3 linked regions of the Caenorhabditis elegans genome follow. The protein of the gene in region 1 purifies or fractionates together with the protein of each later gene. This does not show direct contact. Each region holds a gene or a part of one and is shown on either strand. Other genes may lie near its edges.

Region 1 (4,609 bases):
TTTGAAACTTCTGAAATATTGTTCAGCTACCGTTTATCGTAATTAGGGTTGTCATGGGGCGCCCCCTGATTTTTATACCGTTATTGGAAAATGAGTTCTGACATCGAGAATCGATTGAAGGTTTTACTATTACTCCGATTCAGTTTTGGTGCTTCAGTTTCCGGCTAGAGGGACGCCGGAATCAGCTTCCGAACGTTGAGAGGAACAAGAAGGGACATCCCCCATAACAGCCCTATAAGAACAAATTTTTAAAAAAACGCTATTTAAAAAATAACAAAAAATCTCATAAATTTTCATATCTAAGATTCTGTGAGCGCGAAAAACAAAATAATATAAACACTGTTTCATTTATCTTCCCAACAATGGGCTCAAAAACGTCGCCTCAAATAGTTTCTTAAAAAACTATATGAATTCTCCAATTCACCTAAATAGGATATGCGAATCTAATTATCCATGCTACATCGTCGTTAAAGTCCACTCTGATTGTGAGAAGCTTCAAGAAATCAAATACTTTCCCAATCCTGCATAATTTTGATTTTAAAAATAATAAAAAATTAATTCAAGTCTAAACAACAATTTCAAAGCATATTAACTATATATCAACAACTTTGAAATCCGATGAATCCGTTGTCAATTCAAAATTAACCATTTTGTATCCAATCACATTTTTCTTCCTCTCAGTCATAATATAGCCATATAACTTTTTAATTGTTTCCATATAATTCCATTCTTCAAATCCTCCCATTTTTGCCAATTTTTTCATATACTCCCATTGTTCTTCTATTATAACATGAAATGATGCGGGATTCAGAAGACCTTGAAGACGTGCATCTTCAAAATTCCGAATCTCAACATCATCCGACGGCAGTTTTCCCTTTCCGGCGATCAGTGAGAGCGCGTATTTAACTTGCACTTCGAACAACGGAAAGGTAATTGTTCCGAGAGGAAGGCCTGCAATAACATGTGAACTATGAATGAAAAGATACGATTTCCCAATTTACTTACCAATGAAGAATAGTGTTGTTGGATAATCAACATGGCAAAGATGTTCATAAAGTGGAGATACCATACGATCATTATATTTCAATTGAATTAGTGAAGAGTCCAGAAATGGAAACTGAAAGTATCACGAGTTCTCCCAGAAAAAAAGAGAACAATTTATAAAATTTCTAATGATTATCTGAAATATTTTCATAATGCACACCAGGTTAACTATTTTCTTACGCCGGTTTAAACATTTTTACCTTGAAAACATATCCGGTGCAAACAATTATGACATCAGCAGGAACATGATCTCCTTCATCAGTAACTACGCCATGTTCATCCACGCTTTTTACGTTGGTTGCCATTTGTTGAACTGATTCTGGAAGCACCGGATATGTCGCCTTTTTGCTTATTAGTGTTACCTGCAAACAGTTATTATGGGGTTTAAAAATTGAAGTCTGTATTTTTAGAAAAACTTCAGAATTTTCAAAGTTTTCGAGATTTACATGATTTGCAGTTTGAGCAATTTGTAGTGTGATGTCAATTCCAGATGGTCCTGCACCCACAATGACCACATTCTTTCCAGTATAATGTTCTGCTCTTCTATAGTCATGACTATGAATAAGTTTTCCTTTGAAATATGAGTTCTGATATGGATTTAATGGTTCAAAGAAATGTCCATTGCACACGAAAACGACATCGTAAAAACGAGTGATAGTTTCGGAGTTTGATTCGATTAACACCTGAAAACTCATAATTCTATGAAGAATTTAATTGTAGTTTTATTATTCACCTTCCACAAATCATTTTCACGCTTTACTTCGTTTACGGTGGATGAGAATTGAATTGGAAAATCTTTAGAAAACTCATTCAAATACTCAAGTACATGCTCGTGGCTCATGAAAGATGGGAGTTCATCTCGAAATGGTTCATCCTGGAACAACATGGCTTCTTTTGGTAGATTCGTTCTGAATTTTTCAAACATTTTTAAAATTTTATAAACATGACTTCTAACATATTCTTTTCCCTTTTTAGAATTTTTATCATATTTTGTTGATATACTGATATACTGTTGGAATTTGTCTTTTTTCTGTTTTCGGTTGTTACTAATTAATCAACTATAGGAAAATTTTCTTGTTTTTGTGATATTTTTGAGACAAAAATTTTTTGTTTATTTTAAACAGTCTGTCTAAAGTGAGAAAATCACCAAGAATGAAAATAATCCCAAACCACATACTTCATAACTTTATATAAACTTGAATGACACCCAGTCTTTTCTGAATAAACCCATGTTCCTCCAACTTGATCAGTTTGCTCAAATATATCAACCTAAATTAATTTATAATTCACAGATTATGTTCCAAAAAGTTCTAACCTGATAACCTTGTTTAATAGCATGTTTTGCAGATACTAATCCCGCTGCTCCAGCACCAATAATACATATTTTCTTGTGCATTTTCTATGAAAAAGGAAAATAAGAAAGGTATAGAATAAAAAGAAGTGAGTGATGAAATGGCTGATTGCTTATCAGTATGATCTGTCGTGGATGACAAAATACAGACAAGTAATCAGAGAAAAAGGGGAAAGCTATAAAAATAAATTAATTGCAAAGTAACTACAAAAATTGAAACTTTGAGAATTTTCGAAATTAACCAAAATTACCTCATTGCATAAATGGATAGTTGGTAAAATGGCAACTCAATATTTGGTTTGAATATTTAGAAAATTTTTTAATGAATAGGTGTTCAAGTTAGTGAAACCAGTTAAAACTGGCAATTTAGACGTTATCTAAATTTCGCATTTTTTCAGAAACTCTGGAAGTCATAAAAATCTTTTGTGATATTTTCAAAAGGTCTATTCGAGTAATATAATACGACATTGTCATATTTTATGACTTTACTTGTTTTCAAAACGATTCCCAAACTCATGTTTGCACTTTTACCGTGATCTTTGAACATCATCATCACGAATGACTAAAAATTATATGTTTTGCAAAGTTTTCTGAGAATATGAATTTCTAAATTCCAGTTGATCAATTGAAAACTTCAATGTTTAACCAATATCTGACGTATGCAGTTTCTATTCTAATTACTTATTCTTTCTTCACTCTAATCTCATATCACACATTTTGTCTATGTCTCTCAATCTTTTCTAACTTCCCTATTCTCATAGTAACAGCTTCATTGAAGTGGCTTGGCTCAACGGAGTCAACGCCTTCTGTGTCTAACCCTCACACTCTCTTACGCGTTTCCCCCATTGAACATCCTTTTCTTCTCTCATTCACTCGAAAATTCATGGAAAATTAGACTCTTCTTTTTACACCCTTTTTTGACTTTTCATTTCATTTTTGCCTGGTCAAACCATGCCTACATTCCTAGAATGCCCACACTGTCAACGTCTATATTCAAAACATTCGTTGCTTATTCATGAGAAGAATTGTATTGAGTCAATGCACAAAATCTTAGAGCAAGAAAAGCTTAAAATGCAGGTGGAGTTTTTCAGTTAATTAATTTCCTTCAGAGAACTTGTTTTTGATTTCAGAATAATCAAAAAAGAGGTAGATCAAAGTCTGGTAGACGAAAAAAAATTCGACCCGCGGAAATGACAACTACGGAGAGACCTCGAACACGATCATTATCAAGATATAATCATGAAAATAGTAAGTTTTCAGTTTATTACTATTGCGTGCAATACAATTATTCGGTTATACATTTCGTGAAAGAATTTTTATTCAACCCAAAAAATCTGAAACCAGTGTATAATCAATATGACTTAAAAGTCTAAAATACAGTGAAAGTTCAATTGAAAAAATTAAAAAAAAAAAAAAGATTTTGAAACTACAAACGTTTTTTTCGAAAGGAAACGTATGGCCGATAATATATTTTTAAAAACAAGTTACAGTGTAGAAACTTTTGTTAGAAAATATAAAAACAACGATAAATTTCGATTTCTAATTATTTGAAACTAAACTTGTGAGCATTAAACTATAAAAACTCGACACTCTCTGTTCCTGTTCACTCCCTTCTCTTCAATTTCCGTTTCTCATTTTTCAACGCAGTCACCCATCATCTCACCTCAATTTAGAAGTGCCCCTGTTCGTAAATAACCTTCATTCTTATTTTCTTCAGACGGACTTCGAATTTGTTTTGTTTGCGGAGAGCAATACGACGACCAAGTCATCGAAGAGCACAAGGAAAAGTGTTATGGAGGTGAGTTTGAAAATTGAGAAAACGAAGGGAAAAATGAAGAGCAACGATGAGGAAATTGGAAAAAAAAAATGAAGAAATGAGAAAGAGATGGACCAAAAAGAAAGAATGACATGTAGCACTTGATAAATATTGTGCAACTGTAACAAAGTGTGAAGACATACTTTCAAGATGAGAATAATCAAAAGATCAACTCGAGTCCCTAAAATCAATTTCGGTTTACTGAAAATCATCGAAAAAAAAAGTCTGCTCAAAAAATTTCTAGCAAAGTCCAAATGAAATTTGAGAAAAACGTTAATTTTTATTTTGTTTCAGATTGGTCAATATTGTCAAAATCTCTATCCGTACGATTTCACATTCATCAACCAAAAACCCTAAATACTCCAAGTATAGATGGAACAATTGATGTTGCTCGAGAA
Region 2 (7,728 bases), on another chromosome or scaffold:
ACTCTTTTTCTCCGGGTTTTCTCACTAGTTCCGACCTTGCTCGCACTCGTTCGTCCATGAAAGCATTGATGTTCGGTGACTTTGAAAACTTTATGCAAATCTCAGGAATGTTGGGGTTTTGAGGGGGACGCCAAACGGAACAAAATAGGAAAATCGTAGGGATAGGGGACGTGAAGGCACTTGTTATTTTCATTGCCACTTCCACAAATTGAACGCTTGTTCTTACTCTTGCCTTGTTAGATCCCTCGTCTTTTTTTTTCGATTTCTATCAATCTGTATAACGTTTTACTACTTTACTATTATACTATTTTACGTTCAGAAAATGACTCAGAAATGACGAGTTTATACAACAATCGTGTTGTTAAACTTTTTTCTGCTTCAGTGTTTTGTTCCCCTTTTTTATGCTACTATCACAGAAAACCAAAAAAAAAAACGGAGTTTTAGGAAAAAACATTAAAAGTCTAAAAGTTGGAATCGAAGAAGTGTTCTTGTTTGTCAGTCTTCATTGTCAGTCGATCTTTGAAATTTGAAATAAACTTCCCTGTAAAACCCAATTGAATATATTTTGAGCACTCGTTCTAAATAATTGCTGCATATACTTGGAAGTAGAAAACGTATTCAATTTACAAATGGTTAATATATCACTATGAGTTTAGTGAGAGTAACTTGACTTATATTTAAAATGTTTAGAAATTCTCCGGATGCCCTAATATTAAACGAGAGACTTGCCCAGCTTCGTTCAAGTTTAATTCAGGTTCATCGGTGTCTAAAAAGTTATTGTAAGAAAATTGAGTTAAATCTTTGTTATCATATTCATTGCAATAGGATATAATATAAGTTATCTAAGTTCTGGAATTTTTTCTATAGCCATACAATTTGGAAAGTTTCATACAGTTTCGAAACATTTTCTCACGTTCAACCGTACTATTTCAGGACGTTCAGAATTTTGCCATATCTGTCTCTCTAATATTCTCTTGTCATCTCTATTTCTCTATTATCTTTTATCCTTTACTCCTTTCTCTGTTTCTGTACTTCTCCGAATTGTCAATTCTATCTTGCACTCTCATGTAGGAACCAATTGACGAAGAAATAGCGGGAGGCAGTCAGGGAGGGGACGGAAGGGGGTTTTCTCCCGCGCGCGTAGCCAAACGGCCGATAGATGTGTGACCCTGTGTTCTCTGGCTCTGGCCTGTCTCATCTTTCGTTTGCACCCATTCTCTAATGCCCTAGCATCGATTCGGGCCCACGTCCGGCCACAACGAAGAGGACGAAAAGGAGAAAGAAGGGGGAAGAATACGAAGGGCGAGCACTACTGACCGTTGTGTGTAATTCGGAGCTCTTTCTCTTTATCGGCCTGTGTCTATTGTCTCTTTTTCTTTCCCTCTCTTTTTCCATCTTCTCAACTCTTTTGCTTGGCGAGTTGGTTGTTGCAGTCATATTACTTATAACACACACACAAGAGGAAGAAACGAAAAAAGTAGAGAGAAAGAGAGAGGAAAGAGAAATAAAAACACTTTCAACGGAACTAACTTACTTTTTAGTTCTTTCGTAGTTCTTTCTTAGTTTAGTGTCAACCGTTTTAATTATTTTGTCTTTCAGCTTCACAAAATTATTGCTATAAAAATTATTGTAGGTTATTCACTTTCTGCAAGGTATGACAAATTACTCAACAAGGGCAAGCTGATTCACTTCTTTACATTTTTTTCTGGTAAGTGTATTTTATTTTAAATTTGAAAATTGTATAGTCAACGTTCAGATATTTCTATTTCTAGGCGATGTATCCAATTTCTTCTGTTTCTTGCGTTTTTTCTCGCGCTTTTCTAAATATTTTTCTGCATATCTAGACGATTTCAAAATATAACTAAACATTTATTAATGTTTTGTTTTTGATTGAAAATCTGAAATTTAGTTATCAATTTTAATCTGTTTCAGAAATATGAGCTACAGCAATGGAAACATAAATTGTGATATAATGCCGACAATCTCGGAAGATGGAGTGGACAACGGCGGTCCCATTGATGAACCATCGGACCGAGACAACATTGAGCAGGTCTGTATATTGTAAAACCTTAAAACTGAATGTTCTTTAACTTTTTCAGCTGATGATGAACATGTTGGAAGACCGGGACAAATTACAAGAACAGTTGGAAAATTATAAGGTGCAACTGGAAAATGCAGGGCTCCGAACGAAAGAAGTTGAAAAAGAACGAGATATGATGAAGAGACAGTTCGAAGTTCATACGCAAAATTTACCGCAGGAACTTCAAACAATGACGCGGGAATTATGCCTATTAAAAGAGCAGTTATTAGAAAAAGATGAAGAGATTGTCGAGCTCAAAGCAGAACGGAACAATACTCGACTTCTTCTAGAGCACCTAGAATGTTTAGTTTCCCGTCATGAAAGATCACTCCGAATGACGGTCATGAAGGTATGTCTTTTGATTTATTATTGTTCCCCATTCTATTTGATGTGCTGTAATATTAAAACTTCCTTTTTCAGAGACAAGCTCAAAACCACGCTGGCGTATCTTCTGAAGTTGAAGTTCTAAAAGCTCTTAAGAGTTTATTCGAGCATCACAAGGCATTGGATGAAAAAGTAATTTTTTGTATTTACTCTGTAGATTTTCTAATGTTTTAATATTCAGGTTCGTGAACGTCTTCGAGTAGCAATGGAGCGTGTGGCGACACTTGAAGAAGAGCTGAGCACAAAAGGAGATGAGAATTCGTCGCTGAAAGCGCGTATTGCCACTTACGCAGCAGAAGCGGAAGAAGCAATGGTAATTATTCATTGAAAAAAATAAGAAAGAAAACAGAAAAACGAGAATACATCACATACCCACAAAAATGTGTTTATCAACAAAAATTTTCAGGCGTCAAATGCACCCATCAATGGTTCAATTAGCAGTGAAAGTGCAAACAGACTTATCGAAATGCAAGAGGCTTTAGAAAGAATGAAAACAGAATTAGCCAACTCACTAAAACAATCAACTGAGATCACAACAAGGTACTATCGTAATAACTTTTCAAAAATTGATGGTGAATATATAAACACCTATAAATTTTTGTGGTCAAATTTTTCGGTTTTTTTTCAAAAAAATGTTTGAAGAATGCGTAAAAATTAACTATAAAAATATATTAAATTACATTTAAAAAATTGTTTTCTTATCTCAATTCAGTAAAAAAAATAGGAAAAAATCATGCTGAAAAGCCTATGAATACTCCCCCAAATTTTTAAATTTTAGAAATGCCGAACTCGAGGATCAATTGACAGAAGATGCTCGTGAAAAACATGCTGCACAGGAATCAATCGTTCGTTTGAAGAATCAAATTTGCGAGGTACTTGTGAAATAATCAATTTGTATCGATATTGTTGCTTTTACCTCAAAATCATTCAATTCAAGCGTATTTACTTATTTTTCCTATGTTTAGCTTGATGCACAACGCACCGATCAAGAAACTCGGATAACAACGTTTGAGTCGCGTTTCCTGACCGCGCAAAGAGAGTCAACGTGTATCCGGGACCTCAATGACAAATTGGAGCATCAGGTCAGTAAAAGACATCGCAATTGCATTAGAAACCTCATTTTCTTTTCAGCTTGCCAATAAAGATGCGGCTGTCAGGTTGAATGAGGAAAAAGTTCATTCACTTCAAGAAAGATTGGAGTTGGCAGAGAAGCAACTTGCACAAAGTCTCAAAAAAGCTGAATCCCTTCCGTCTGTAGAAGCCGAATTACAACAAAGAATGGAAGCACTTACAGCAGCTGAACAGGTGTGTTTTTGTTGTTATGTTTGTTTAAAATGTTTTCCTTTTCAGAAGAGTGTTTCTGCTGAAGAGCGCATCCAAAGGTTGGACCGAAACATTCAAGAGTTGTCTGCAGAGTTGGAAAGGGCTGTGCAAAGAGAACGCATGAACGAAGAGCACAGCCAACGGTTAAGTAGCACTGTGGACAAGGTGAGCATTTTAAAATCATACACAAAAGTGTTAGCAAAACATTTTTCCAGCTTTTATCGGAATCTAATGATCGCCTTCAACTGCATCTCAAAGAACGAATGCAAGCCCTCGATGACAAAAATCGGTTAACACAACAGCTTGATGGAACAAAGAAAATTTATGATCAAGCGGAACGAATCAAAGATCGTCTTCAGCGGGATAATGAATCTCTACGGCAAGAGATTGAAGCTCTTAGGCAACAATTGTACAATGCAAGAACTGCGCAATTCCAGTCAAGGTACAACATAATATAATGCATGGTGAAACCGTAATTTTTTCAGAATGCATGCAATTCCGTTTACACATGCTCAAAACATTGTGCAGCAACAACCACAAGCTTCGATTGCTCAGCAATCTGCATACCAAATGTACAAACAACAACCAGCTCAACAGTATCAAACTGTAGGAATGAGAAGACCAAATAAAGGAAGGATTTCAGCACTCCAGGTGAGATTTGGTTTTGTGACATTTTGTTTCACCATGTTAAAATTGCTATTGGCTACAACAAAAAGAAACCAACCATTGAAAAAAATTTCAGGACGATCCGAACAAAGTTCAAACCCTCAACGAGCAAGAATGGGATCGACTTCAACAAGCGCATGTTCTTGCCAACGTCCAGCAAGCATTTTCCTCATCACCATCACTGGCCGACGTCGGTCAATCGACTCTTCCACGTCCTAACACTGCTGTCCAACACCAGCAAGATGATATGATGAACAGTGGAATGGGAATGCCAAGTGGAATGCAGGGAGGAATGCAAGGTGGAATGGGTGGTGGTCAAGATGCTCAGATGTTGGCATCAATGCTACAAGATCGCTTAGATGCAATAAATACTGAAATAAGGTGGGCTAATTATCGTTTTAAAATCTGATTCTATAATGTATTTTCTTAACTTTATTAATTTTTTATTAATTGTTTTTAACAAGTATATTTTAAGATTGATTCAACAAGAGAAACATCACGCAGAACGGGTGGCTGAACAGTTAGAACGATCAAGTCGGGAATTCTATGATGATCAGGGAATATCTACGAGAAGTTCACCAAGAGCAAGTCCCCAATTAGATAATATGCGACAACATAAGTATAACACTGTAAGTCTTCATTTGTTTGTTTTTTTAATACATTTTTTATATGTATTAAATGTTCTTCAAGAATTTTTCTAAATTATAGCTTCCTGCAAATGTATCCGGTGACCGACGGTATGATATTTACGGCAATCCGCAGTTTGTTGACGACCGCATGGTTAGAGATTTGGACTACGAGCCACGACGAGGGTACAACCAATTTGACGAGGTAAGAGTCATCTCAAGAAGGAAGAAGATGATTAATGACCGGTTCGTTTCTTTTGCAGATGCAATACGAAAGAGATCGAATGAGTCCAGCTTCGTCAGTCGCTTCCTCGACAGATGGCGTTCTTGGCGGAAAGAAGAAAAGATCGAATAGCTCAAGTGGATTGAAAACGCTTGGAAGGTTTTTCAACAAAAAGAAAAATTCATCGAGTGATTTATTCAAGTGATTATTTTATTGAGTTATGAAAACATACAATCATTTTTTAGACGAAATGGAGATTATTCGGATGGCGAGCAGTCGGGCACAGAAGGAAACCAAAAAGCTGATTACGACAGGAGGAAAAAGAAGAAGCATGAACTATTAGAGGAAGCCATGAAAGCACGAACACCGTTTGCTCTTTGGAATGGTCCAACTGTTGTTGCCTGGCTGGAGCTGTGGGTTGGCATGCCAGCGTGGTATGTAGCTGCGTGTAGAGCAAATGTGAAATCCGGTGCAATAATGTCAGCTTTGAGTGATCAAGAAATCCAGAAGGAGATTGGAATCTCAAACCCATTGCACAGGTTGAAATTGCGACTTGCAATTCAGGTACTGAGGCTTTAAAAATTTACTAACCGGCAGTAAGACGGCATTTTGTTTGTATGTTGCAAAAAATGAAAAAAAAACACCAAAATAAATTTATCTTGGTTCGAACCAGGTTCTTTCAACTTGAAAGTTCTCATGGCAAGATTCAGCAAAAATACAGCAACTCTGTAGCCAGGTATTTTTTGTTAAAAATTTGCAATATAAATTAATTGTAATGATCAGTCAATGTGTTCACAGATTCCTTTGATTTTTTCATTACATAAAAAATAATATCCTTAATGTTTTTCTGAAATTTTGAATAATGACAGTTAAACTTTCAAATTGAGCAAACAATTATATACAATACAAGATTATATGTATATGCTTTTTTTCAGGAAATGGTTTCTTTAACGTCACCATCTGCCCCACGAACTGCTCGTCTGACTCTTGCCTTCGGAGATATGAATCATGAATATATTGGAAACGACTGGCTTCCTTGTCTCGGTCTTGCGCAATACCGATCAGCGTTTATGGAATGTCTTCTTGACGCTCGAATGTTAGAACATCTTTCAAAACGTGACCTACGCACGCATCTGCGCATGGTAGACACATTCCATCGTACAAGTCTCCAATACGGAATTATGTGTCTCAAGAAAGTCAACTATGATAAGAAAGTGTTGGCGGATCGGCGAAAGGCGTGTGATAATATCAACACAGGTAATAATTATATTATCTTTACAACAATGCCTTTATGGGTAATACCTTGCAGACTTGCTAGTGTGGTCGAATGAACGAGTTCAGCGATGGGTGGAAGAAATCGGGCTAGGTGTATTTTCAAGAAATTTAGTGGATAGTGGAATACATGGTGCATTAATTGCACTGGATGAAACGTTTGACGCATCCGCTTTTGCATATGCACTCCAGATTGGATCTCAAGACGTTCCTAACAGACAAGTGAGTAGAAGTCATCATAATTCAAGAAACCTTTGGGAAAAATTGAAAATAATACTCAAATATCATTTTATTCCGCAAAAACAATTATTCATATAATCTTATACATTTTTAGCTACTGGAAAAGAAATTCATTGGCTTAGTCAACGATCACCGTCAACAATCCGATCCCCATCCGGTAATGCCATAGTCCGTCGATTAACACGTTTTCTTTTTAAACAATAATCAATTCTTACATTGTTCAATTTTTTGTGCTGCTCTCTTGCTCAACTAGATTTTCCTTGACATTTTGCAGTGCTCCTTTAACTCTTCCCGGTTGCTCAAAACATTTTTAATTCAGATATCTAAAACAACTTTAACCTTCAAAAAATCAGCATTTTCAGTCATAATTCACACTGTTAATTAACGTCTTTTCCACAATACTGGTATGATTTGGTGTGTTTGCTCTAACTTCAGTATTGTTTGATCTCATCGTTTAGTAATGTGCAAAATTTCAATTTTCAGAGAAGTGGAAGTTCTCGTAAGAATGATTCCATAGCAAAATCCTACGAGTTTCATTTATATACCTAGTTAGTTAGTTAAATTAAAATTTTTTCCGCTCCCTCTCACTCGTTCGTGTCTTTCCTGTCATTCGTGCTAGTCTAAACGACCTTATACCGCCTGCTTCTGTAATTTTTTATTGACGATTTCAGTTTTTCGGTATTTTAAGTTTTAATTATTCTCATTATCATATCCATATTTTTTCCATTCTCAAGTTTTTCCCTAAATATCTTTTTAGCACGTTTTTCTTCTGGTAAAAATCAAAAAGATAGAAAGAAAGTGCGCTAATATTCAATTTTTCTACAAAACCAAATACTTTTAACTTATTTCCTTGATTATTAATTATAGTTTTTATCCAATCTCATCATTGTTTTCGATTCTTGGCAAACAACATT
Region 3 (3,108 bases), on another chromosome or scaffold:
ATTTTTGTATGATTTCTTATAAATGAAATATTGCTATTAATTTCATACTACAAACAACTTAACACAAAAACAATAAACTCTCCGATTATCTGATAACTTTTAAAATATTGTGGTCTACTACGGGTCAAAGGAAGCTGAGCTCAATTCGGATAGATACAAGTATCAACTAATTTTTTCTATTCATCTAGGCAAAATATGTTTTCATTACAAGTAAAGTTGTGCAGAATTACATTAGCACCGACCGGCTCGCAAACTAAATATTAAAAATTGCAAATTCCAAAACTCCAGAAATGAACCAGAAATTTTCAAATTTTTGTTCCAACTGGTCAGTGCCTCAAGTTTTTAACATGTTTTTTTGTAATCATAATTTTGCTTGTGTTTTTGCCACATGAGCTGTTTAGAGTCCTGTTACCTGGCACCTAGAAATTGTTCGTTTTTTTAATAGTTTGAGAATAAAAGTTTTAAAAAATATAGTTTTAGACTTAAAATTTTATGTGATCAAATTTTTTAATCAAGTGTGACGCTATTAATAGAAAATTTCATTTCAAAACTGATAATGCGAATTCAATCGAAACATAGCTTTTTAGAATGATTTAACTTATACAAATAGTTTTTAAAAGGCAAATTAAAAATTAATGATTGCAGTCTCTGCTCTCTCCAGGAAGGATTCCTTCTAAATTCCAAATTCCAATATCAAAAGTCTTCGGTGTGTCAGTGTCCGAATAAATGTAGTTGTTTGGCAATTCAAACTTCCAACGTCTTTGGCATGGCTGAAAATAAGTTTTTGTGTTGCATGAATAATTAGAAACTTACATTAATTCCGTCATCACAATCGTGGTAGATTTTCAGGTGAGGATCAATAGTTGTGAGTTCCGTGGTGGATCCACTCAATTCGAACTCTCCGTTTGCGTTTGTATAGCCGCTACCCAAATCATCATCAGGGTCGGATCCAAAGTCGTCATCTATCAGCTTTACTTGAACATTTTTTACTGGAACATTGCCACATCTAAACGCGCCTTTCACCTGAAAAAAACTGTCTAAATAATTTGAATTTCTGATAAAGCCCACTCTGTAGTTTTGACGTCCAGAGTGCGATTCCGATGCAGCCAAGACAACTGATAGAACACATGTTCCAAGGATCAAAAGTTTGGAAATCATCTCTGAATTATACAAATTTTAATAAGGAAAATTAAAAAAAAAAGATAGAAAAGTTGGTCAGAAACCAAACATTAAAGATGACAACAATTTTAAGAACCATATTTATTTGTTAAAGTTGAACATTATTCAGTTAGTGAGCACAGCTTCTACTTTCGTTGTCCAATTCGATCTGAAAAAAATATGATTGATAATTTTTGACTAGAAAATTAAATTTGCCAGCTTTTCAATCATTGCGTTCATTTGAACTTGAAAACAATTACTGAATATGATTATTAACATTGTTTTTTAATAATATTGCTAAACATTGTGAGGGGGTTCTTTTTGCCGACCCACCTTCACTTTAACTCAATGCAACTTAAAGCAAAATACCCACGGACGACACTATGCAGCGTTCAAATCAGCATGTCAAATTTATATTACCGTATATTCTCTATTAGTTTTGCACCTCTATTAGTTTTGCATCAAATTAGGTGTCCGAAAATTAGTTTTGCACGCCTTACTAATAGAGGATATACGGTAAATATAAAATAGGCTATACAAGGATTTACATATAGGTTGAGCCGCACACCTATATATCGAATAATTTTTCGAAAACTTATTATAAAACCTGATAAAAACACAAAACAATAAAAAGGTACGGTACACGGTTTCGTTCCCCCCAAAATGATTTTTAATTATTTAACACTACCTTTTTAATTTTAATCCACACGTGAATGTTTATTTTAATACTGTTTTCATGTTTAGGCTTAGAAAATAATTTCCCTAAGCCTGAGAATGAAGAAAAAGTTCACGTCTCAATTAGAAAATATGGAAATCACTTTGGGGGGGGGACGAAACCCATAAATACCAAAAGTACTTTTAATCAATCACCAACCTCCAAATTTAAAACTCCTAGATCCATGATTTCCTTCACTTCTGGCCCATTAGTAATGTATTTTGCTGGTATCCGGATAACCCATTCTCGTTGGCAAGGCTGAAAAAAGGTTAAAAATTAATATTACAAATTGGCACCTACGCTTCCTTGATCATTGCAGTCATGGAAAATTCTTAGTTCTGGATCAATTGGTGTCAGCTCCATTGAAGACCCAGACAACAGAAAGTTTCCATCGTCATCGGTTGTTTTTTGATCCAATACATCGTCTGGGTCTGGGCCTAGAAATTCAATTGGTACGTCACAAACTTGCAATTAATCGAGGATCACTAACCATTATCTTCATCAAAAAGTTTCAAGTTCACACCAGCAGCTGGTTTACTTCCGCACATGAGTCTACCTTTGACTCCAGTCGATTGAGTACGGAATGCAAATGCTCCACCGATTAATAGTAATGTAAGAACTAGAGTCTTCATCATCTATTACTGAAATTTAAAGTTGAATTTCATATTTTTGGGAAATAATCTAGTTTTCGAGAAAAGGTATCAATTGTCAAGAAAAAATATTTATTGAAAGAGACGAAATGTTGAGTTAATGAAGTAGATAACGAAATGTTGACAGTTCCGAGAAAATTTAAGTCAAACACAATAAAATCAAAATTGAGTGACAGTGTTGTTCAAATTTTGATAAATGGATTTGGGTCACTTGTCTGAACTCACATTTCCGAGTATAGAAATCATGAACTATTATAGAGTAAAAAGTACAAATTTCTCTGTGCAAAACCGAATGTTTTTTTTTGGTTTTTGAAATTTTTAATTGTTTTGAGACCCAACAGACCCCAACATGTTTGTTTTTTTGATAAATTACTGAAATGGTTAAAAAATCTTTTGTGGCTGATCAATCAATTCACAAAAAGCATTTAAATAAACGGGATAATGTTAGATAAACACACAATATATACAAGAAGTAATGATAAAATAAAAACGATTTTCCAAATTGTACTACACAAAAAGTTGTCAAAACTGGAGAATTTAGTTAAAACTGTTTATTCTAAATTTTGAACCACCATAAAAATTTTG

Evidence for each region.
Region 2: the proteins of C01H6.4 (region 1) and syd-2 fractionate together in Caenorhabditis elegans (co-fractionation; one large-scale study listed by BioGRID). This does not show direct contact.
Region 3: the proteins of C01H6.4 (region 1) and ttr-35 fractionate together in Caenorhabditis elegans (co-fractionation; one large-scale study listed by BioGRID). This does not show direct contact.

What each region holds. Positions count from the first base shown.
Region 1 is NC_003279.8:7,208,424-7,213,032, reverse strand, and holds C01H6.4 (Flavin-containing monooxygenase), read right to left. Parts: upstream 2,763-4,609; 5' UTR 2,647-2,762; intron 2,444-2,646; 5' UTR 2,441-2,443; coding exon 2,360-2,440; intron 2,314-2,359; coding exon 2,222-2,313; intron 1,953-2,221; coding exon 1,778-1,952; intron 1,728-1,777; coding exon 1,491-1,727; intron 1,407-1,490; coding exon 1,245-1,406; intron 1,118-1,244; coding exon 1,006-1,117; intron 952-1,005; coding exon 593-951; 3' UTR 511-592; downstream 1-510. Other genes in the region: C01H6.3 (C2H2-type domain-containing protein), read left to right, coding at 3,347-3,472, 3,526-3,643, 4,113-4,193, 4,506-4,609.
Region 2 is NC_003284.9:10,549,145-10,556,872, reverse strand, and holds the start of syd-2 (Liprin-alpha), read left to right. Parts: upstream 1-1,633; 5' UTR 1,634-1,708; intron 1,709-1,932; 5' UTR 1,933-1,936; coding exon 1,937-2,050; intron 2,051-2,099; coding exon 2,100-2,429; intron 2,430-2,500; coding exon 2,501-2,596; intron 2,597-2,645; coding exon 2,646-2,777; intron 2,778-2,870; coding exon 2,871-3,004; intron 3,005-3,242; coding exon 3,243-3,336; intron 3,337-3,429; coding exon 3,430-3,546; intron 3,547-3,595; coding exon 3,596-3,769; intron 3,770-3,814; coding exon 3,815-3,952; intron 3,953-4,002; coding exon 4,003-4,229; intron 4,230-4,272; coding exon 4,273-4,438; intron 4,439-4,529; coding exon 4,530-4,834; intron 4,835-4,928; coding exon 4,929-5,082; intron 5,083-5,161; coding exon 5,162-5,284; intron 5,285-5,342; coding exon 5,343-5,503; intron 5,504-5,547; coding exon 5,548-5,866; intron 5,867-6,237; coding exon 6,238-6,559; intron 6,560-6,611; coding exon 6,612-6,796; intron 6,797-6,908; and 4 more. UniProt on the Caenorhabditis elegans protein: May play a role in regulating the structure of the neuronal region, called the active zone, from which synaptic vesicles send neurotransmitter signals across the synapse. This may be in association with the liprin-beta protein hlb-1.
Region 3 is NC_003284.9:6,510,337-6,513,444, reverse strand, and holds ttr-35 (Transthyretin-like family protein), read right to left. Parts: upstream 1,161-3,108; 5' UTR 1,159-1,160; coding exon 1,069-1,158; intron 1,024-1,068; coding exon 814-1,023; intron 771-813; coding exon 633-770; 3' UTR 527-632; downstream 1-526. Other genes in the region: ttr-36 (Transthyretin-like family protein), read right to left, coding at 1,289-1,327, 2,033-2,131, 2,174-2,310, 2,364-2,508.